Linked DNA regions of Arabidopsis thaliana. The protein of the gene in region 4 binds, or shares a complex with, the protein of the main gene of each other region. Each region holds a gene or a part of one and is shown on either strand. Other genes may lie near its edges. The genes, in order: SMU2, SKIP, U2B'' and RS40.

Region 1 (6,520 bases), on a different chromosome or scaffold from region 4:
GTGTGAGAACAGCCATTGATTCGAAAAGATTCAATCCTTGGTTTTCGTTCAACACATATCTCGCAGTCGAAAGAGCGTCTTCGTCGTTGTATTGGTCAAACAGAGGACTGTCCCTTTTCTATGGAGATTGGTGTGAAACAGAGGATTCTTACATCGTCATCTTCGTCGTTGTATTGGCCAAGATCTATGTAGTTTGTGAAACCGGATTTGAATGGAGTTTGAGAAGAGTGTATTGGCCAAGATCCTCGACGGAGATGGCGTCACGTTTGGTTGAACCACGAGCGGAGAGAGGTGTGGAGAAGATGAAACGGTCGGAGTCATTGACGGTGGCTGCATTCATGGAATCTGTGGCCATTTTTCTGATTAGGGTTTTATGATTTTTCTAGTTTTTTGCTTGTCTTGTTGGGTTGGTTACTGAAGCGTCTCATTTTTGGTGATGCTAAACCTAAAACCTAAGGCTGTCCCAACTCCCAAAACTGCTTCGTGTTTAATGGGTAATTAGGAAATAAGAATGCTATCATTTCAAAATTTGGACGTAAAATCTTTTCTAAATTAAGAATTTGAACTCAAGGTACCAAAAACCTAAACAGACTTGAAGATACAAAATAGATTACGAGAGAATGACTGGAGTAGACAAGAGACAAATCAATGCTTGGATCTCTTAGGAGTTTGTGCCTCGGCGGCATCCAAAGAAGCAACATCCCCACCCTCCTTCTCCATCTTCTTTCTCGTAAGTATCTTATTGATCTGGTGAAGTTCATTATTGAGCTTCTGGTCACGGTCACGGTTCTGCTTCCTTGTCTTTCGACCATCTTGCATCTTTACCCCGAATTGGAACGCCGCTTTTGGCATCGCTTCCTTCTGCTCATTATATTTTTCCCATTCCTCTTCTGTCTCAAAGTCCCATCGATGTAAACCACCCTTTGCCTGTTCCATGTACATTCAACAACCAGATACTGTAATTTTGCTCTTCCACAATAAATAACAAGGAACATGTAATTAAGTCAGGGCATACCTTTCCACCCATGTCCATTTTAGACAAATCAGGTTCTTCATCACTACCGACAATCTCATGGTTGTACTCTTGGTAACCTGGATAACACTCTGAATAACTCTCGGATACAAAAGTTGGATCTTTCTCCCTTGCGTCACTCTCCCTCAACTGTTGAAGCCTTTGGTCATCACGCTTGAAAACCGATCCCAAACCCCTATCTTTCTCTTCCTGCGACATGAGTTGAGGATCTAGTAAAACATCGGTTTCTGGTTGGACCTCGTAACCCTCCATTCCAGGTTGAAGGTACTGCTCCTGATACCCAGTTTGCTCTGCATATTGGTATTCCTGCCACTCTCCGGGGTACCCAGGAGCCAGTCCTTGAGTTTGCATTGCACCATATGCACTCTGGAAAAACACACAACCACCAGAAAAAACCTAAATATGGGAATAAATGACATCTAATAACTACATACCAAGACGCAAAATTTGCAGACGAGGATCAAGATTTGAGAATAAATACAACCAAGGATTAGCTAGGGTGAACTGACCATATCTTGCCATTCCTGACCAGCAGATGGCTGCACTGGACCATAAGCAGGCTCAGCGAAATAAGGTACCTTCTCCTGCACTGGACCATAAGCAGGCTCATCGAAATAAGATACTTTCTCCTTATCCCTGGGAGATTCTTCCATGTCCTCAGAAATAGGACTCTGTGTCACATCTTTACCAGGAACCGTGTAATCGACGCCTTCACCAACAAATATGTCATCATCGTCTGTCCTGGCAACAGGGGGTTCTTCTTGTTTCGTACTCAAATCCAGATGGTTTATCCCAGGTGGTAATGGCGGAGGAGGAGGTAAAACTTCCCTGTCACTTATGTTCACAGAAGATCCATTCTCAATCTTAGATTTATTGTCGTCTTCATCATAATCATTAGCAATAGTTGACATCTTTCCTGCATTTGAAAAGTTGCAGTGGATGTGATTAATAAGGCAAAATAATATAAAAAATGCATGAACGTATGATAGAATAGAAATTAGCAAATTATCTTGCTAAAGAATCAGAAACCAGCCAACTTGTATCCAATTGTATGCTGATGTGAAACAAGAACTACAACATGTACTGGCACCACATTAGCATAATAAAAATTACTAACAACAGAGTTTACAGAACCATCAAGGGACGGCAGCAACATATTTATGATACAACTAAATTTCTTCACAATTGATAAGCGAGAACACAACCAGACATCAGTAGATACTACTAGTACTGTGGTCAAAGACTAGGTACACTCTTTACATTCTTGGCTCCAAACTGTAAGACCAGATAATTAACAAATTTCGGGAAAAGCAGAGAACTTATTTAACCAGTGTAAGTGAATCAGGTCTGCTAATACTTAAACTTTACAAAAAAATGCACCAGTAGATGCAAAATACCTTTCCCATCTTTTTCTTTCTTTTTCTTCTTGAGAACTTTCCCCGACGACCCAAGGCGAAGATATGACATGATTTTAGCAATTCGATCTAGCACAGAACCATCAACATTGACTGTGACAAATTCCTGTTGGGGAGATAGGACAGAGAAACAGTGCCTGTTAAATGAAACAATTCTCGCAAAAATTGCAGCAGTGATTTCAATTATAAATTTTTATTATGTTCAGTAAACAAACATATTAAGCAACGTTAATTTTGGTTCCAGATTAGTAGAAAGAAAGTTGAATTTAGTTTAAAAAGATTTTTATAATTACTTAAAGAAAATCTATGCTTCTACCAAAACTAATGACTTATATAATCGATATTAGCTGTATTGAATACATCAACACTGTAAAAGAAAATAGGTTGCAGAGACAGGCAGAGTGGGCTTATTTTCATTAGAATCAAAACGATCATGTCACATCACTGCTTACAGTCTAAAGATTTTTCCAGGATCAAGAAGACTATTACAACAAGGACTCTAAGTATACATACCTCGGGCACCGGGCAGTCAGCTTTACTCCTATATAACGTGGTCGGTATGTCATGGGTATAGCCACCTTCCTGAAAAGCAACAAATAGAATTAAAAACAAAAGGGAATAAAATTAATATACATCAACAGGGAGGCTTTCAAAGGGCAGACTAAACCCATACTATAAGCTTAGCCTAGCAGCTTAGCTGAGACTAAGTATCTCAAAGGAAACTTCATACGTAACACTACCAAATATCAATAGTATATTCAACTGACTTTTCTTGTCGTATGGTGTCTCTATCTGCAAGAGAAAAAGAATATGCTTCTTCAAGAAGAGCAGACACGTTAATCGAACTAAAAAACCTTTACAACCAATTCTGCGTATAAGGTTTCTAACAAATAGATTAAATCGTGAATAAATCGCTAACAAGGTAATGCAAAACAGCTTAAGCTACCTTCTTAAAATTTTCCTGAGACATGTATTTAAACTAGAAGCGAAGATTTAACTAAATATTAACTAATACTCGAAGAAGAATCGTTGAAGCAGAATACACATGTATGACTACTTCCTAAGACAAACAACGACATAAGAACATGTAATAAGATTGAATCTTCCTGAAAAAGAGTTAACAAGCAATACCATATCATAGACAAATGTCATTCTACCGGGAAGAAACATCTCATTAGACTTGATGATAGTCTGAGGCTTAACAATCCACTGGTAAACTGACTGAAACAGATCAAAGACAAGAGAAACAAAAAACATCAAGCGCGTTAACTACATCCCAAAACTTGCTCCTCATCTGCAAAGTTCAGAACAAAATTGCATACCTTTGCAGCTATGGTACGGAAAGTAACTCGCTGATCTTCCTTAGGCGCACTGTTAATATAGTAAAATTAGCACTTGAATCAAAGAAGCCAAATGAGTCAATAAACCAAGTATAACCAAATCTACCTAGTCTTCCCACCATCACCATCTTCACCATCAGGTTTCTTAACGATTTCGCTTCGTACTTTATTCAACAAAGCATAATCCAAACCCTTAACTAAATGGGTATGTTCAACATCACCTAAACCATATCATAAAAACAACATAAGCACCTCAAAAAAAAAACATTTTGAATAAATTTGTAAACCTAACACAAACCTCCAAGATATTTGCTGTTCTCAATAGATATCTTAAGTGCATCAGCAGCACTACAACAAAAAAAAGTACACAGCAACAGAAATTTAGAGAAACCCAATTAGAATTTAGAAAGATAATGAAGTAATCGAGGAAAGACAAGTGCTACCGGATATCGACAGCTCCGGGAGGAGCAACGGCATGGAAAGAACTAAGCTCTGATGGATCATAATCAGGATTTTGATTCTCTCTTCTTTCTTTAGCACGATCTCTGTATTTTGGATTATCGGATTCCTCTAGTTTCTCCTCTCTGTGAAGGAAAAGTGACGAGTTTTGATGTTTTTGTGTAAAAACCCTAGCTTTTGAAGAAAAGGGGAGAGAGGAAAATGAAGATTTCTGACCTCCGACGAGCGGTTTTCTCCTTGTGATGCGATTTTGAAGGTTTCATTAGATTTCGTTAATTCGATTTCTTGTCGTGAAACAGAGAAAAATCAGATTTTGGCTGAAGTTCTTCGTTCTGATGATATCTGTGTCTGTTTCGATTTCAAAGCGTTGGTGGTTCTGGTCAGGGGAAATTAGAATTCGATGTTTAATTTAGAAACCGGATCTAATTTAAACCGATAAAATCGTTTAGCGACCGGGTTTGATTATCGAAACCTGGTTCACAAATTTTTACCATCCACCAAGGACATTAAAAACCCAATTCATTCATAATAATATTACCTTAGATCAAAGATCAAACACTACACATACAATACAAGCAACATTCCCAAAACGATGGTCTTATCTAACATTATCTACAACAAAAGTAGGCCAACATGGTCCTCATAGATGTTATGTAGACTCAAAACTATTTCTCATCGAAAAAGAAATGTAATGTAGACTGCGTCTCCTTAGATTTCTTGATGTTAGATTTCCCCATTCCATGCATCTTTCCTTGTTTCCCACTGCTTTTAACATTTTGCAACCTCTCATAGTGTTTCTGTGGCTTTTCTTGAGCTGAGAATACCTCATAGTCTCGCTTTGTCCCACTCTTTTCGCTAAACACTAAGCCACCTTCCTTCGTCGTCGGGCTAGTTAAAACTGTCTTCTGGTTTTCATTTCCTGGAATATCTTCGACAGCCTCATGCAGCTGATTCAATCTCTCATCTGCAGTAAAGAAATGATGGCTTTGAGTCTCGGGTTCTTCTTTTGAGATTCTTTGGAGATCAAGGATGTAGGACTCAGCCGGTATACTGGCACTGCTCTCACCTGTTTCTTTAGTAAGACCAGTCTTTAGGGATTTGCCTTCTTCCTTTGTACCCTCCTGAACATCATTCTTTACAGGTTCAGGAAGTGACGCAACTGCTGAGTTATCTTCAACAAATGGTTCTGCTTTCACAATCTCTTGAAACTCCAGATTTTTGGCTACATTCGACATATCTTTCTCCCCGTCTAGTTCTTCAATTTTCTTAATGCTGTCAGAAAACGTGTCCTTTTCAGCCGTAGGTTCCTTTTTCAAATCAACTATGATATTTGCATCTGTTGATTTGGTTTCTTTGTCTCCTTCATCTGTTTTGGGCTGCTTTGTTGAGAAAAACTTCGAGATCAAGCTATTTTGTGAAGTCTTTAGCGGTATCTGCAGGTGGCATAATCCTTATTTGAAATGACAATAAGCATACAGACTGTACAAATACATAGTGATCCTGACAATATGTTTAATGCGACTTGAGATCAAACTTGAGATTTGAGTTGTACACTACTAAGAAAGGGAAAGATGTTAACCGTACCTGTTGAATACACTCTGGTCCATCAAACGTTGGTTTACCAATTGCAGAGGTTACTGGATACCATACCTGAAAGTTCAAACTTCAATCTCAAGTAAATGAAAAAGGAAAGACCACTCTTATATGCGAGGAAGTAAGCAATTGCATACCAAATCCGATTTTTCATATGGTGAAAGTAATGGCTGCAGTTTCGTTGTCGAGGGATCATCTAACCATGTGTCGATTGAATCCTTATCACCAAGAATTACAGGCATTCTGTCTTACATGAAAAATAAACAAACTCACGTGTTAACACAAAAATTCAGGGCTGCTGCAAATCAACAAAACAATCATCAACAGCCGCTAATAATGTAAGCATTGTATAAGAAACGCTACTCTCAATATTAAACTACCTTAAACAGCCACTGCTTGTTCTATTCCAGTACTTAAAGAAGTTAAAGATTCTCATGCAATTACATATGTATCTTTTCTAAAAGAGCTTATCAAATCAGATGTAATACGAAAACAGAAACAACTCATACTACTATGATAAGTTTGTATCTTTATTAATGTGCGGGTTTGATTAAACCTCATTTTAAACAACGAGGAACACAAGCTTCAAGCGTCCATAGACAAATATACAATTCCCAACTTCATATGCTATGTGTTTCATTGTGCTACTGAGAATCATTACTGAATAAGAAAAAATGTCA
Region 2 (4,623 bases), on a different chromosome or scaffold from region 4:
GCTTTACAATACAATGTAATGAACCCACTCTCGCAGAACTCATCTCCGACGAACCCTAACCTAACGGCGACGGAATGAAGCTCCTTTCCCAACGTAAAATCATGAATTTGAACGGCTGCTTTGATTACAATCGGAAGAGAATATCGATCGGGTAAAACAGTCGATCTCACCATACCGAGATATACTTGAATTGCATCGAGAGGAGACTCATGGCGAATGTAAGATCGCATGATGTTGTTCCATAAGAAAGCGATCGGATATTGATCGAGGATTCGTGAACGGAAGATGTCACCATGGATCCGACGAACACGAGCTAGGCTAGTGCAGTTTGATAACAGAGTAGCTAAGAGTTTGTTTCGATCTTGAGGCGAAAGAGGCGTAACCGAGGAAGATGATGTAGTGACGAAATGATTCAAACGGTGAAAGATCGTGAAGTGATTTGTTCTCTTAGTACCATGAACATGAAGCTTGGAGATAAGACCAGAGAAGAACATGTGTCTTTTTTGTTGTTGTCCTGATTCAAAACTAAGATTCTTAAGTACACAAAGTTGTAACAGTGAAAAAGAAACTAAAATAAGCTCAAAAGATCTGATATTATGAAGCTGAAAGATTGTATTCGAGTAGTTTAAGAGACTCACAACAACATAAATACTGATAATCCAAAGCAAACTGTTTTAACAGATCCAAAATAACAAGTTATATATTGAAATCAAAGATCAGTTACTGAGCTTTTTCTTTGTCTTGACTTTTAACGCCGGTCACTGCGTTCGAAATTGATCTTGGTTCGACCAGAACCGCCGTGGTCATCGTCCCTTGAAGAGCTACCACCACCGCCACTTGCTCTCATAGTTCCACCAGACCCGATCTTGTCCAAAGGTTTCTTACCCTTCTTTAAATCAGAAACCCACTTCTCAAGACCGAAAGGATCTTGTTCCTCTTCCTTCTCAAACTCAACAGGTCGGTCTCTCTTACTACCCACCCTCTCTGAAGCCCCTGTGAAAGCTTTGTCAGGCTTAAACCTCTCAGTATTCTTGATCTTATCGAGCTGCTCATCAGCGTTTCCATACATTTCTTCATCGTTATCCTTCTTTGGCTTGTACAAAGTCGAAAGAGTTGGTTGTGCAGTGAACAAGCCTTTGTCGTATAAGTTGTATTGGTCATCAGCAGCGAAACCAGAGTCCATTCCTTTGTCTTGGTTAAACAGACGTTGATCATACATAACTTCACCACCACCTTTTCCTCCAGTAGATGCCATTCCAAGAGCAACTTTCTCACTGATGTCACGGTCTCTGTCTCTGGTGATCTTGCTCTTCTTCCCCATGGCAGCATCTTTGGCATCCAACCTTCTCTCCCTCTCTCTTTCCCTGCGACGCTCTTCTCGTATCTTTTCTCTCTGAATCCTTTTTTCCCTCTCCTCCCTCGTCTCTTGAGGCTCTTCCCTTTCTCTTTCCCTTCCTCTATCCTGGTCATAGTTGTCATAATCACCTCTTGGGTCAACACTTTCACTCCTACCCCTGTCAGATGAGACAGGCATACTCATAGCAGCACCGGTTCTTTCGGAGCGAGCTTTTTGGGCAAGAGCCCTCAATTCCTGCTCTTTCCTTTCCTTGTCCTTCATCACCATCTCTTTTTGCACCTTGGAACGCATTGAAACAGCCTCTCTAGCTTTCTGCTCAGCTACATAGAGGGCCTCTGATAACTTGGCAAAGTTATCATTGATCTGAACGTCTTGTAGGCCCCTTCCATCAGCAGCTAGACGTTTGTCAAGAGGGATTGTGTAACCTTTCGGATTCTTCCAATTGGAGATACAAGGAGGGATTTTCCAGTCTTGCTGGTCCTTGACGGTAACAGGCCTGGGCGGTGAATGCATGACCGGAACAGGCGGAGAACCAGAAGCCCTTGGGACTCTCTTGTGCTTGAACTTTGGTGGATCAAGTGGATCTACAGGCATCTCCACCATCCTAATGATCCTCTCTTTAGCACCAGAATTGAAGGCAGAAGATTGCTGGGATGGCTTATATTTAATGTACTGTGAATCTCCCGATTGCCTTGCTATATTACTAGGCTGCGCTGCACTCAGTCTCACATTCACAATCTTCTCAATGGCAGCTTTCGTTTCTTCAGCAGTCTCCTGAATCTCCTTCTGCAATTCCTCCTCTTCATCAACAACAGTACCCAAGTCTCCCTCGTTTTTCAGAAACTTTGGAATAATATCCTTATGCTGAGAATAAACAATCTTCCTCGAGTTCTCATTCTGCCTCACTATAGCGTCAAAGACCACGTTTCCCTGAGCATCGACAGTAACAGGGAGAGTCTTAGCTCCAGGCTTATTGGATTTATTCTTACCCATAAGAAGAGGATACTGAGGAAGATGAATCTCCGGGAAAGCACCACCATCGCCAAAATCCTCTGGATTCTTCGGACGTAAACCTTGACGATTCAGGTAAGCAGGCACCACTTTAAATTTGATACTGGAGGATTTCACCGTCTCGGATTCAGTGACTCGGTTTTTGAACCAAGCATCATTAGAATGATCATAATACGTGGTAGTGGTTGATTTGGGCGCAGGAAGATCATTAAGAGACTTCATAGTCTAAATCAAGGTTTTCAACAAATCGCAACCTGCAAACAAAGAACAATAACGATCAGGACATACCTAATCCGTAATTACAACAACAAGCTTCTGATAATAAAAGTGACAGATCCTCCGAAATTAGGGTTTTCTAGCGATAAACTCGACGCGAGCATTAGATCCCGAATAATTCCGATTAAAATCTGAAAAATCTGGGTTGGATTCACTACAATAGAGCGGAAAACAAGTAGGGTTTAGGAATCGCTGAACATAGAGATCGACAAAAACCTAAAAACAACAGGAGGAAAGCAAAAAGCAGAATTGAATCTGAGAAATCGAAGAAGCTAACCTCTGAGGAAACTAATCGACGGGAAGAGAGATTCTGAGAAAGGTGAAACGATGTGCGAGGCGGCGCAGACCGATGAAGAACAACGAACGGAAGTGAAGCCTTTTTCTGGGGAAAAAAGAAATCGGGCGTGAAGCCTTTTCTAGGGTTGATAGGATTAACAACAAAAAAAAGGAATCAATTGTCTTATACGCAGTGTCTATGTAAGTCGGTTTAAAAATAGACGAAAAAACGAAAAGGATAACGTCGCCTGAGAGATTCGAACTCTCGCGGGCAGAGCCCATGTACTTAGCAGGCACACGCCTTAACCACTCGGCCAAAGCGACTTATTGTTTTTAAATCGAAGAAAGTTATATATATAACTATAGGTGTTGGCTTTTTGATATATACAACAATTCTGAGCATCTCATAATTATTTGCATTGTCCTTAATGAAAATCCGTCTCAAACACATTCCCATAGTTTCGTTTAAAATACTGAATTCAAGGTTAAAAGAAAAAAAAGTATAAGAATTTGGTGTTGGTACATCTCAACTGGTATACTGTTAAACCACCTCGAAAGGGAAGGTGAAAAAGTTCAGAATTCAAGTACCAATAGAGGAAATACTAGTTAGGCTTTGGTTTGTCTATCAAAACTCAAAGCAAGTGTAAGTTTCATATCAACAAACTTTCTTCTCTTTCATTTTTTTATAAAAAAACAATAGATTGATGGCGTTAGTTTGATATTTAATGAACCAATTTATGTTTTTCTAATCAACAACCAATTTGTTTGATATAAGGTAAAGAAACAAAAATGATATGAATGAACTACGTAGGCTATGTAAATAACGACTACGAGAGAGACTTAAATGTATGGTGAGAAATATTATTAAACATATATGTGGCCATGCGGGATAATGGGAAGGTTAATGGTTTTGCTTCTATGGAAACAACGGCATGGTAGTTAGTTTCCAGTTTTGGTGGACAACTTGGCGTGGTTGTGTTCAACGACAAACTATGGTCCTTGACTCCTTGCATTACACAACTCAAAACTCGGAATATACTTGAGTATATCATATGCATACAATTTTCAACTTTTTCTGTTAAATCGATTCATGGATTAGATGAACTATTTTGAGGGCTTTTCAGCATTCGATTAGGTTAAACGGCTGTTGCGATTATTATTTGTTTTCATAGGAGCTTATGCTATGAACAGTAATCATATAATCATTTGTATAAAAGTGTCTATTTCTGATCTAAGCACAGTAATTCATATTTGTTTAACCCCAAAAGCAAAAAATCATACATCCGTATATATATTTGAGAAAGGAAAAAACAAATAAAGACCGTGCTCGTGGGTGGAACCTCCGTTGACCGCGGATCCCAATATAATGGCCTTTTCCTACGGGATAGTTAGATGCATTACTAATTAACGTAACAATTAATTTTGATTCAAATCAATGTACGATGATTATAATAAATGTGTTAATTTAATCAACTTATGAGGCCGGTGTTGATTGATGTTTTCGTTGAGAAGACTCACCCAATACTTAGTTGATTTAACATTTTTTTTTTTTTTTTGTTACAAAGGTATTAATTTCCCCATCTAAGGATTGCGTATGAAAAAATATTTGTTCAAACATAATATAAGTTCGTTTTACAAAGATTAAAAATGAATAAAAAAAAGGTTTTAAATTTCACATCGTTGGATTTGCATATGAGTTAGTG
Region 3 (4,704 bases), on a different chromosome or scaffold from region 4:
TTTATTACGTGTGAGGAGCTGAGAAGCAGAGGAGAATCAAGGTAATCGGAGAAAGTGAAGTTATGAGAAGATTGTGAAATCGGAAGAGGTGGTGGTTGAGCCGTCTTGAACTTAGGTAAACCAGACCCGGTTCTCTCTGGATAGTACCCACCAAAACTCGACCCAGAAACTCTCAAGTCTTCATCATCTTCGTAACAGTCAACGCCGGAAGAACCAAGAAGGTCGGTGAAAGAAGTGGAAGACATGATGGTCTTTAATAAAGGAGACAACTTTAAGATTTCTAAAACAGAGGATTCGCTAAAAAAGGAAACTTTTTTATGAAATTGATCTTGAAATGAAAAAGAGGATAAAACTAAAAAAGAACAGAGGCTTTTAGATTGGGTTAAAGACGACGACGGTGGCGTATTGAGCAAGGTTTTTTTTGTTTCTCTCTCTTCTTGTCTTTTTCTACTTTGGCCTAAATATCATTTTTGATTTTAATATTTCTATAAAATGGTTGACCAGTAAGATATTCTTTTTTGATGAGTCGTCTCCTAATTTGTGATAAATCGTCAAGTGTGAAACCGCGTTTCAAGGGTCTCTTTCAATGATTAAACCAAAACCGGATTAATCCGTTAACCAATAGAACCGTTGGTTGGTTATACACACCAGGTTTGGTTGGTCCAGTACTATCGTCTTAAAGGACAACAAACAAACAAAAACAAGACTCTTATCATTTCTTGGCGAAAGAGATGACCATTGGATTCTGGGGAGTGATTTTGAAACCTTGAAGAGGTTGCATAGCTATGGAAGCTTGAACATCATCTTCGTACTCTACAAACGCGATTCCTGGTTTTGCGTCGATCATTCTTATCTCTTTGAATCCAGGGTACTGTTCGAAGAGAAGCTGTAGCATCATGCTTGTTGTCTCGTGTGGGAGATTCTGAATGAAGAGTATGTTGTTTGGTGGCATTGTTTCTTGCCCGCTCGGCTGGAACGAAGGCTGCATTAAGAAGAGCAGAGATAAAACGCAAAACATCAGCATCATCTCCAGATAACAATAGTTTGGTTCACATGATCCAACAATGGAAGATTTTTCTGAAGATGAAGGTGAGAACAAGAACACTTACCGCAGGGACTCCGTTATTGGCACTTGGACCATTAGCACTTGGGCCATTAGCCGTGTTTGGTCGTTGGGAATCTTCACGCTTTCTTTCAACTGAAAGTAAGAAAGGAAGTTTGTTAACTTTAGATGCAAGTGAAAATTTTATAGTTGTATCATTGAACCAACATCTACGACAAAATGCAAAAAGAAGAAATAAAGTTTAAAACCTTTTTCTTCTTGCTTCCTCTTCTTATCTTTTGGAACGAAAGTTCCCTCAGCTTTAGCTAGACAATCTGACTTTGCTTTTGCATATTGTAAGCGCTGCACTTAAAAGATCACATAAAAAGTATGAATAATAATAAATCTCAACCTGATTGGAAGTAGTTGAATAGTTTACAAACAATCGAAAGAGGTAAGATTTAGTTATAAAAACAATGTATATATCAAACAGAACAAACATTTTGACAACAGAAATCATAAGAGAATGTGATTTGAGAAGGTCAGCAACAAAATCCAAACACACATATAACTAAATGTTGATTGAGAATAACACAGTCAAAGGTAATCATTGGTAATCACATAAACACACTAAGGATTTCTGCTTTTACCGCATCAATCAATCTATACAACACACAGAATATCACTTCCAGGGAAATTATACAGAGATTGATATACTCAAGACAGAAAAGGTAGTGGATACTAATCATTGGTTACTCATCAACAGCAACAAAATCTAAACACATATATGACTACCAATGGATTGGGAATAGAAAAAGGTCAAAGGTTCCAAAACAAATTGTTAGTAATCAATTACACAAACACACTAACGATTTGCTTCTATCGATCTATACAACACATAGAAGATCACTTTCATGGAAACTATAAAGAGATTGATATACTCAAGAGTGATGAAATACTGACCATTGGTTTATCATAGAAGGGAAAATTTTGCATCTGACGAACAGCATGACCAGCAGCAGTGACTTCACTAAAAGTAACCCAAGCTTGTCCTCGGAGCTTCGGAGTCTTCAAAGCAACCACATCAAGTATCCTCCCAAACTGAGAGAACAAACAGTAAAGAGATCTCTTCAATTCTGAGAAAACAAAAACCAAGTCAGATAAAGCATGAGATTGATGATACTGCCCTGAGCCAACACTACTTCACACGTCTATAACAATTATCCATACAATGGCGAAAACAGACAACACCAACATATATATCTTCCTTATAACCTTGTCACTAGATTCAATACGATTCTGAAACCCTAGTATTTAGAAACGAACACTCTATATAAGCTAAAAACAAGCAAAAACCCTAACATTCAGTACTGTAGAAGCTTGAATCATTGGTACAGGAAGTTCATGGAGGTTTCAACATCTAAGAATTTGGAAATTTACTTGACGAATTAGATTAAACGAGAAGAGAAGTTTACCCTCTTTCTTGATCCTTTCGTTGAGGTTTTGGATGTAGATTGATTGATTCGGTGGTATATCTGCCGTTAACATCTTCGAGTGAGCTCGTGAAGACGATGAAGATTCTCGAGACTGAGGAATTTAGAGAGAGCCCTAATGGTGGGAACTGGGAATGAGAGAGACGAAGAAGAGTAAAAGAAATAGCTGCGTTTCAACATCAGACTATTTAACGACGCCGTTTAGTTTGTTGGTTCGATTTCCTAAACTTTTGTACCAACGTGAATGAGCCGACCGGATGGACCGGATTTGAATTTGACCGGCTAGACAGAATTGAACCGGAAATAGAATGAGTGGTCGGGATTGGACTTTTATAGACTCGAGATCAATTTTTTTATTGCAAAATTCCAACAAAAGTCTTGTGAATCATTTTGATTCAAATGTTCAACAACTTTTTAAAATAATGTAAATGATGTTGTATTTTTCCAGCTGAGCTTGCAAATTTGTTCTGAAAAAAGATTTAACCTTAGACCTTAGTATATCTCAATATTCATGTGATAGATAATACAATTCACGTGTGAGCCGATTGAATCAAAAGGCATTAAAAATGCAATGTACTAAAATGCCTTTTTGTTTCTGTGTTACATTTTTCTTTACACTGAGAAAATAAATCGAGGATGTTTCACTTTCATCCTTGAAGAAATATGGCAACCATTGCGACTACTAGTGAATGATCGATGGATCCAGGAAATATCGTTAACCGGAACTTGCTTCTCCCTACGTAAATCTGTCTCAGCTTGTACATCAAACTCGTCTGCCACCACATTTAAAGGAACATAAATCAGATTGAGGCAAATGTTCAAACACAACAACAACAACAAAAATCTTTAAAACAAGTGTATTAGAATCCAAGCAAATTTTACAAGCCTAATGAATCCGACTTCAAATGAACGAAACAAAGGGTTGGTTGTTTATCCATCAGCAAGCATGATCCAAACGATGAGTTTTGAACCCGGTAATCAAAACCAGTATAACACGGTATTGACTCTTGTCTAGCTATAGAATGTTCAATAGTGCTGTAATTGGGAGAAGATGAGTATCTTTACCTGTGCAACAATGGAATCTTGACTATAAATGGTACAAGATTTCTGAAAGGGAACACCTTTGATAACAAGATTTTCGGACGATTCTCCAGCAAAAGAGACCTCTGACTCTGTCTTACTGAATCTTTTCGATGTCCGCTTCACCGTTAGAACCAAATCCTTACGCTTTTCCACATCTCCTTTATGTAATTCCCACACTCCATTCTACATTCCAATACATATACAAAGATCTGTAAGTGTTCTTATGATATATCTCAAGCCAGTGACTAACTAACAAAACCCAAACAATCAAAAAGTATAAACATCGTGTGGACTATGTAATGAATAATGAGATTTAAACAAGTAGCGATGAGAATTGCCAAAATCGATGAAATTTGGGACGAAGGAGGCTTACGTGGAGACGAGAGATGGAGAAGAGAGGAACTCCGGAGGAATCAAGGAGAGATTTCAAGGAGGAAGAAGATTTGCGGAGGATGAAGACGAGATGTTCGGAAGAATCGGCAAATCCGAGATCGCCGGAGGAAAGTCCGGGAAGCTTTTTGGAAGCGAAGAGATCGACTGGTATACGCCGGAGATCCTCAGGGTCGGGGTGATACGGAGTCTCGGAATCAGCCATTTACATAGTCTCTAATAACAGTCAGAAGCGTAAGGTAGAAGAAGAACAAGAGAAGCAGCTTATATTCAACGCCAATGTTTTTTTTTGTTCTAATGATGTCGGATCAGATTTTTTTTTTTGCGGCGAAACATTCTTCTTACACCAAAAAATAATTCAGATGAATAAAATTAAGCAAGTAAATAATTGGATGTAGAAGCCAAAGATAATAAAATAGTAATGATAATTTTCTTTTACGTTCTTGAGATACCAATTCTTGTTTTTTTTTTCACACAAAACTGAAATGCAAAAAAAAAAACTAAAAAGTAATAACACATTTTTTTGATGTTTGATCTTGATTAATAAATTAATAGAAAATGGTAAATGTGTTACTTACATTAGGTTGGAAAAACGTATGGTTTAACATATGTGTTTGTTGGAAAAGATACATTTTTAGTGAACATACCTTTGACATGAATTGATTTATAAAGGTTTTTTTTTTTGCATTTCCATCC
Region 4 (5,092 bases):
ATGAAAACCAAATCAGAAGACGAAAAGGCGAATTTTTCATAACACTCGAAAGCCCTATACTATCAGACGAGCATATCTCAAAGGGTAAAACTTACCAACAAAAGACTAAAACTTCAAATCCAATGGGCAACTCAAATCAAAACCCAGAAAGTTTCAACCAAGTAGACTCTCTCGACTTGCACGAATCCCAACGATCAGAAAATTGGAGAAACCCAGTAGACAAAGAGATCATTAAACTCTACAGCAGCATTTTACTTGGTAACAAATATACTAAAGCAGACGACCAATGTAGGCAGAACTATAAGTCTATTTGTAGCCAATATTTATATTTGAGTCAAAGGTTAGGGACTAGTTCGAACGTTGACAAGAGGCGTTTAGAGTAGTTTTTAGACCCAATTAAGTCAATAGAACCGTTCTTGCCTTCCATAATTTCGGCGTACCATTTAAGTTACTTAACGATGCGTTCGATTTTGTCACTCTCAAGGTGTTTCGATGCAAGATGTTTTGAGGTTCGCATCTTATTGTCACGGGAAAGCATTACATGATTGGGGTTCAAACTGAGAGGTGATAAAAAAAAACGGAAATGTAGTAACTTGACATAAGTTTTTCAATCCGACAATAAAAGTGATCCGAGTTCGAATCTATCAAAAACCAAACGACAAAAACTAATCACGACGACATAGCGTTGTTGACTACAAACAGTTACAACATCCTACTTTGATAGAGATTGTGGATCCACTCTTATCACTCGTCAGCTGGTGGCGAACGAGGAGACCGGCTGCAACAACAAGAGAAATGGTTTACGATTCATGTCATCAATAATATATAAACAAGTATCGACCTATTTCAGAATCTAACCTCTTCTGCATTGGGCTCTCTGCACCATCATACCCACCATCACTGTCTCTTCTTCCTATTGACCCAGGGCTTTCAACTTGGCCATTCTCGGGGCTAGACCTCGATCTCTCTCTCCTTTCAATGGGACTTTCAACTTCACCAACCCCATTTCTCGGACTCTCCTTCTTGAACGGGCTGTGATTAGGGCTCATCCTCTCTCTCTTGTTGTTGGGACTGCGGCTGTACTTAGTAGGGCTTGCGACTCTCTCCCTCCTGCGAGGGCTATCATTGCCTCTGCGGTCACGACCATACTCGGGACTGCCACGTCTTGATTTCTTGTAAGGACTTGGGCTACGTCTTCGACCATAGTCAGGACTGGTCCTTTCCTTTCTGTAGGCAGCAACAGGACTAGCTCCTCGGCCATAATCAGGGCTTCCTCTTTCTCTTTTGTAAGGACTAGGTGATCGCCTTCTCCTTTCAGGTGACCTATCACGGCGTCTTTCAGGACTGTGTCCATTTCCTCTAGCATCATCATCCTTCACAGCATACTCCACCGAGATCACCTTATCCATCAGCTTACTGAATGAAAACACAGATGAAACGTGAGTCTAAGAAAGGAAAGTGATTAGATACTAAAATGGACAGAACAAACCTGTTATTTGAAGCATCCAATGCTCTGGTGGCATCCTCTTGTGCCTCGTACTGGATAAATGCAAAATTCCTCCTGATCCTAACGTTTACGATCTTTCCATACGGCTCAAAGTGTTTCTCTAGATCCCGGGTCCTAGTATTATCCGCATCAAAGTTAATCACAAAGAGAGTCTTGGAAGGTCTCATGCTGGATGAGGATCTCCTTGAACCACCACCAGATCTTTTATCACCTCCACGTTCACTCTATATACACAGAACCATTTATGTTATCAGTATTTCAAACCTCATAACTAAGTCTGGAAAGAAATAAATCCTGGGGTAAGTATCCTACCTTTGTCCATTCAACACGAAGTCTGCGTCCCTTACGCCCAAATTCAAAGCGGTCAAGTGCTCGGATGGCATCTTCCGCATCCCTTTCATCTTCCATGTATACAAAAGCAAACCCTGGAGAAAAAAGAAAAAGCCAAAAGCAAAGATCTGAGTACATTAACAGTGAGGAAGTGGACCAGATTAAGAACCTTCAACATACACGAACACTGTCCTCCCTCCTTCAACGCCTAACTTAACTCCTAGAACATATTAAATTTTGAACATTCCTAGAACCTTAAAAAAACTCCAAATGACCAGTGAAGCAGTTACAGACCTTGCATTATGGAATTAATATGTCAAGGAACAACTGAAAATGTGGAAGTCAGACGGGGATATGAATGAAAATAGAGAGCCTTCTCCATTGCAGAGGCATGTCCAAGTGTGCAAAGTGATGAGGAATGAAATGCAATTAAGATGGCAGTGCTAATGCGGATGGAAAGTGACTGATTTTGAGGGATAAGAGATGGATTTCCCTATGGTCCATTCATGGCCAGGTGTGAGTATAGGCGTCCCAAGATTATCAAACACATCCTGCGTCAAAGAAAATGCGGTTTTACACTAATTTTTTTTCTAAAAATCTTATTCCTCTGAAGTACTTTCCAAAGTTCAAGCAGGCTGCATCAGGTGGCCAGGTGAATGTGGTCAATGTTTAGTACTCCTTCCAAAGGGAGATAGTCCACCAGAGCCTTCTCGTGGATGGAATGAAGACGAGAGTGGATTTCATGAAATGCATTTGAATTTCGCTTTTTCATTGTACTTAGTGGATAACAATACTGCTTATTATAATTCATTCAGGTTAACCACAAAGACAGAGTAGTAAGAGGCAGAAGAAAGAAAGAAAGAAAAAAAAGGCTCACCAGCTTTCATATCAACCCTCTCAACCTTGCCGTATTTCCTGAATAGTCGTTCCAGGTCACCTTCGCGCGCATCATACTCAAAGTTCCCACAGAAGACTGGCTTCATGCTTCCTGTATAGACAACCACAATAGTAAAAAAGATTCATGAGACTTCCTTAAATGATAATTTAAACACGAATATCACAACTAATTTGTCACCAAGATGAAAACTTTTAACACTAAAAACTAGAGCCCTCACACTAAATCGAATTGTTTTGCAGTAAATTAGGACTTGAAACTCATCTATTCGAGCTCCAAATCAGTTAAATCTAGGAACTGAACTAGACAGTATTAGAATCAAAAGTACAATGCAACAGATCTAATCTAACTACAGTTAGATCTGAATATCATTCACAAGATAGAGAAAACGAGAACAATCCACGAAAGCATGAATCTTTCATACCAGAAAAACAAAGAAGGCTCTGATGAGATTCAACTTATAAAAAACGAGATGGACCAATTCTCTTGTTCTACTTTTCACCAACCAAAAAAAAAAGAAGGAAGAAGGAGATGAGAACCACGACGATATAGAGAGTGAATAAACTGCATCAATTTACCTGTAGAATGATTTTGGCAGGCGTAGTCGCGTGGAAGCCCTAGAAGAAGAAGAAGCTCGCGTCGAGAGATAGGTGAAACTGAAAACAGAGTTAGGTACGATTTAGATAAAGAAGGCAAGAGAGATCATTTGGATTTTTATTTTATTTTCTTTTCTTTTTAGTTTCAAAGATATTTTTTTCAGAACACATTTTGACTTTCTTATTTTGTCTGAAGGACGAGAAGTCGAGAACGTCTACTTTTTAGGAGTATTGGGCCTATATGTTAAACAAATTATAAGAAGCCCAACAAGTAAACAAAATTGAAGCTGCTTTCTAAAAAAACAAAACAATAACAGATTATGAAGACAAACAAATATTAGATTTTTTAATTTTGATTAGAATATACTGATTAATAGAACTAGAACATGTATCACATAACATCTACACAATGAATAATGCATACAAGTTTTTAAAAAGTCTTGCAACTTAACACTCTCAAGATCCCACATGTCAAGTTTTGGATTCGATGAAACATATGAGTTTGTTAGTAAGTTTAATAATTGTTGTTATAAAGAAATGTGTATATTTATATATTACAATTAATTAAATAAATTGTTTTCCTCTTCATTGGATTGCTTCACTTATGTTAAGAGTTTAGTAGTTGCTTTCAAGGCCGAATGATATGTGGCCACGAACATATCATCACACGTGGAATGAGAACGAGTTTCGACTTTTCAAATATGCCATAAAGCCTCAATTATCTTCTTATCTCGCTTGAATATGCAACAAAAAGCTATTAAGATATTCATAAAATAGAGGCGTCTCAAATCTACCAACAAAAAGCTACAAAAGATCCAGTCCAATCCACTGAAGAATCCCAAAACAGAGTAGAAACCCAAACAACCCGATTCAGCAAATAATTCAAAAACGAACGTCCGTACGATTTTCCAAAAACAGAAAGATGGGTTCCACAAGATAATGCGTGGGGACGTCAAAATCCTCTAAACCCGTGGTTCGGCCGCGGAAACACTGTCCCTACCTTCCCCACCAGCCTTCACTGGCCCCATACGTCACTCTCAAGCTTTACTTTCTATTTTCCACTAAAGCCAATTTTGTTGTTTTCTTCACCTTACCACTCTTTTTTTCCCTCTTTGTTGTGTCTTCTTTTCTCCTAAATGTCAATAACGTGAGAGCGAGAGGTAACGAGAGAGATATTTTTGTCAGCGAATATATTTCATGCATATCTTATTGTGAAGATTTTTTATACCTTTTTTTTGTCAATACAATATAGCTATTATTGAGATTGAGATATTTTGTGGGAATTATTGGGATTCAAGATAACTTGCTATTTTGTATTGGTCTAATCCTTCGCTTAGTCCTGTCCTGGTCCATTTACATGTTTTTGGTTATAGTTTGTTTAAACTGAATAATTTTGTTCATCATATGCATTTATGACTCATTTTTAACCGTCCATCGAAATTGATAATTATCCATTACCAAATCTGATTAATTTTTTTAAAAAATCAAGCTTTTCTATATTGTAGTATTATTTTTGGTTAAATATTAGGACATCTACTTCCAATACAAATACTACATGAGTATTTAAAATATCATTTCACAGAGATATTTATGTCTATTATGTTATAGACGGGTGACAATTAATGACAATTTGTTTATTCATAGGAATTTAAAAACGATTGTAACAACAGCAGCCAGCCAACCACACAGGCACACACTCGATAGAATTTAAAGAACTCATAAAGGTTAACGAGTGAAGAGTCAAAAGTCTCTTTACAAGGGTCA

The links.
Region 1: RS40 (region 4) and SMU2 share a complex: the UniProt entries of both Arabidopsis thaliana proteins name them as parts of the spliceosome.
Region 2: RS40 (region 4) and SKIP share a complex: the UniProt entries of both Arabidopsis thaliana proteins name them as parts of the spliceosome.
Region 3: RS40 (region 4) and U2B'' share a complex: the UniProt entries of both Arabidopsis thaliana proteins name them as parts of the spliceosome.

What each region holds. Positions count from the first base shown.
Region 1 is NC_003071.7:11,254,404-11,260,923, forward strand, and holds SMU2 (RED family protein), read right to left. Parts: upstream 4,668-6,520; 5' UTR 4,511-4,667; coding exon 4,464-4,510; intron 4,373-4,463; coding exon 4,232-4,372; intron 4,137-4,231; coding exon 4,087-4,136; intron 4,010-4,086; coding exon 3,895-4,009; intron 3,820-3,894; coding exon 3,771-3,819; intron 3,670-3,770; coding exon 3,580-3,669; intron 3,031-3,579; coding exon 2,962-3,030; intron 2,555-2,961; coding exon 2,431-2,554; intron 1,950-2,430; coding exon 1,543-1,949; intron 1,400-1,542; coding exon 1,016-1,399; intron 928-1,015; coding exon 646-927; 3' UTR 529-645; downstream 1-528. Other genes in the region: AT2G26470 (embryonic stem cell-specific 5-hydroxymethylcytosine-binding protein), read right to left, coding at 4,913-5,680, 5,832-5,897, 5,978-6,087. UniProt on the Arabidopsis thaliana protein: Auxiliary spliceosomal protein involved in splicing of specific pre-mRNAs that affect multiple aspects of development.
Region 2 is NC_003070.9:28,999,043-29,003,665, forward strand, and holds SKIP (chromatin protein family), read right to left. Parts: upstream 3,094-4,623; 5' UTR 2,922-3,093; intron 2,799-2,921; exon of another isoform or gene 2,623-2,798; 5' UTR 2,591-2,622; coding exon 749-2,590; 3' UTR 535-748; downstream 1-534. Other genes in the region: AT1G77170 (Tetratricopeptide repeat (TPR)-like superfamily protein), read right to left, coding at 1-494. UniProt on the Arabidopsis thaliana protein: Splicing factor involved in post-transcriptional regulation of circadian clock and flowering time genes. Associates with the pre-mRNA of PRR7, PRR9, ELF3 and GI, and is necessary for the regulation of their alternative splicing and mRNA maturation.
Region 3 is NC_003071.7:12,904,845-12,909,548, forward strand, and holds U2B'' (U2 small nuclear ribonucleoprotein B), read right to left. Parts: upstream 2,822-4,704; 5' UTR 2,591-2,821; coding exon 2,518-2,590; intron 2,179-2,517; coding exon 2,006-2,178; intron 1,406-2,005; coding exon 1,312-1,405; intron 1,199-1,311; coding exon 1,110-1,198; coding exon of another isoform or gene 1,050-1,109; exon of another isoform or gene 983-1,049; coding exon 713-982; 3' UTR 501-712; downstream 1-500. Other genes in the region: WRKY25 (WRKY DNA-binding protein 25), read right to left, coding at 9-245; AT2G30270 (LURP-one-like protein (DUF567)), read right to left, coding at 3,183-3,308, 3,601-3,801, 3,992-4,213. UniProt on the Arabidopsis thaliana protein: Involved in nuclear pre-mRNA splicing.
Region 4 is NC_003075.7:13,022,896-13,027,987, reverse strand, and holds RS40 (arginine/serine-rich splicing factor 35), read right to left. Parts: upstream 3,491-5,092; 5' UTR 3,311-3,490; intron 3,224-3,310; exon of another isoform or gene 3,157-3,223; intron 3,034-3,156; exon of another isoform or gene 2,826-3,033; 5' UTR 2,821-2,825; coding exon 2,715-2,820; exon of another isoform or gene 2,139-2,714; coding exon of another isoform or gene 2,132-2,138; exon of another isoform or gene 1,976-2,131; coding exon of another isoform or gene 1,933-1,975; coding exon 1,820-1,932; intron 1,732-1,819; coding exon 1,490-1,731; intron 1,417-1,489; coding exon 859-1,416; intron 779-858; coding exon 745-778; 3' UTR 548-744; downstream 1-547. Other genes in the region: AT4G25510 (uncharacterized protein), read left to right, coding at 1-340, 485-545. UniProt on the Arabidopsis thaliana protein: Required for constitutive and alternative pre-mRNA splicing. Involved in primary miRNA processing and pri-miRNA biogenesis. Binds both intronless and intron-containing pri-miRNAs.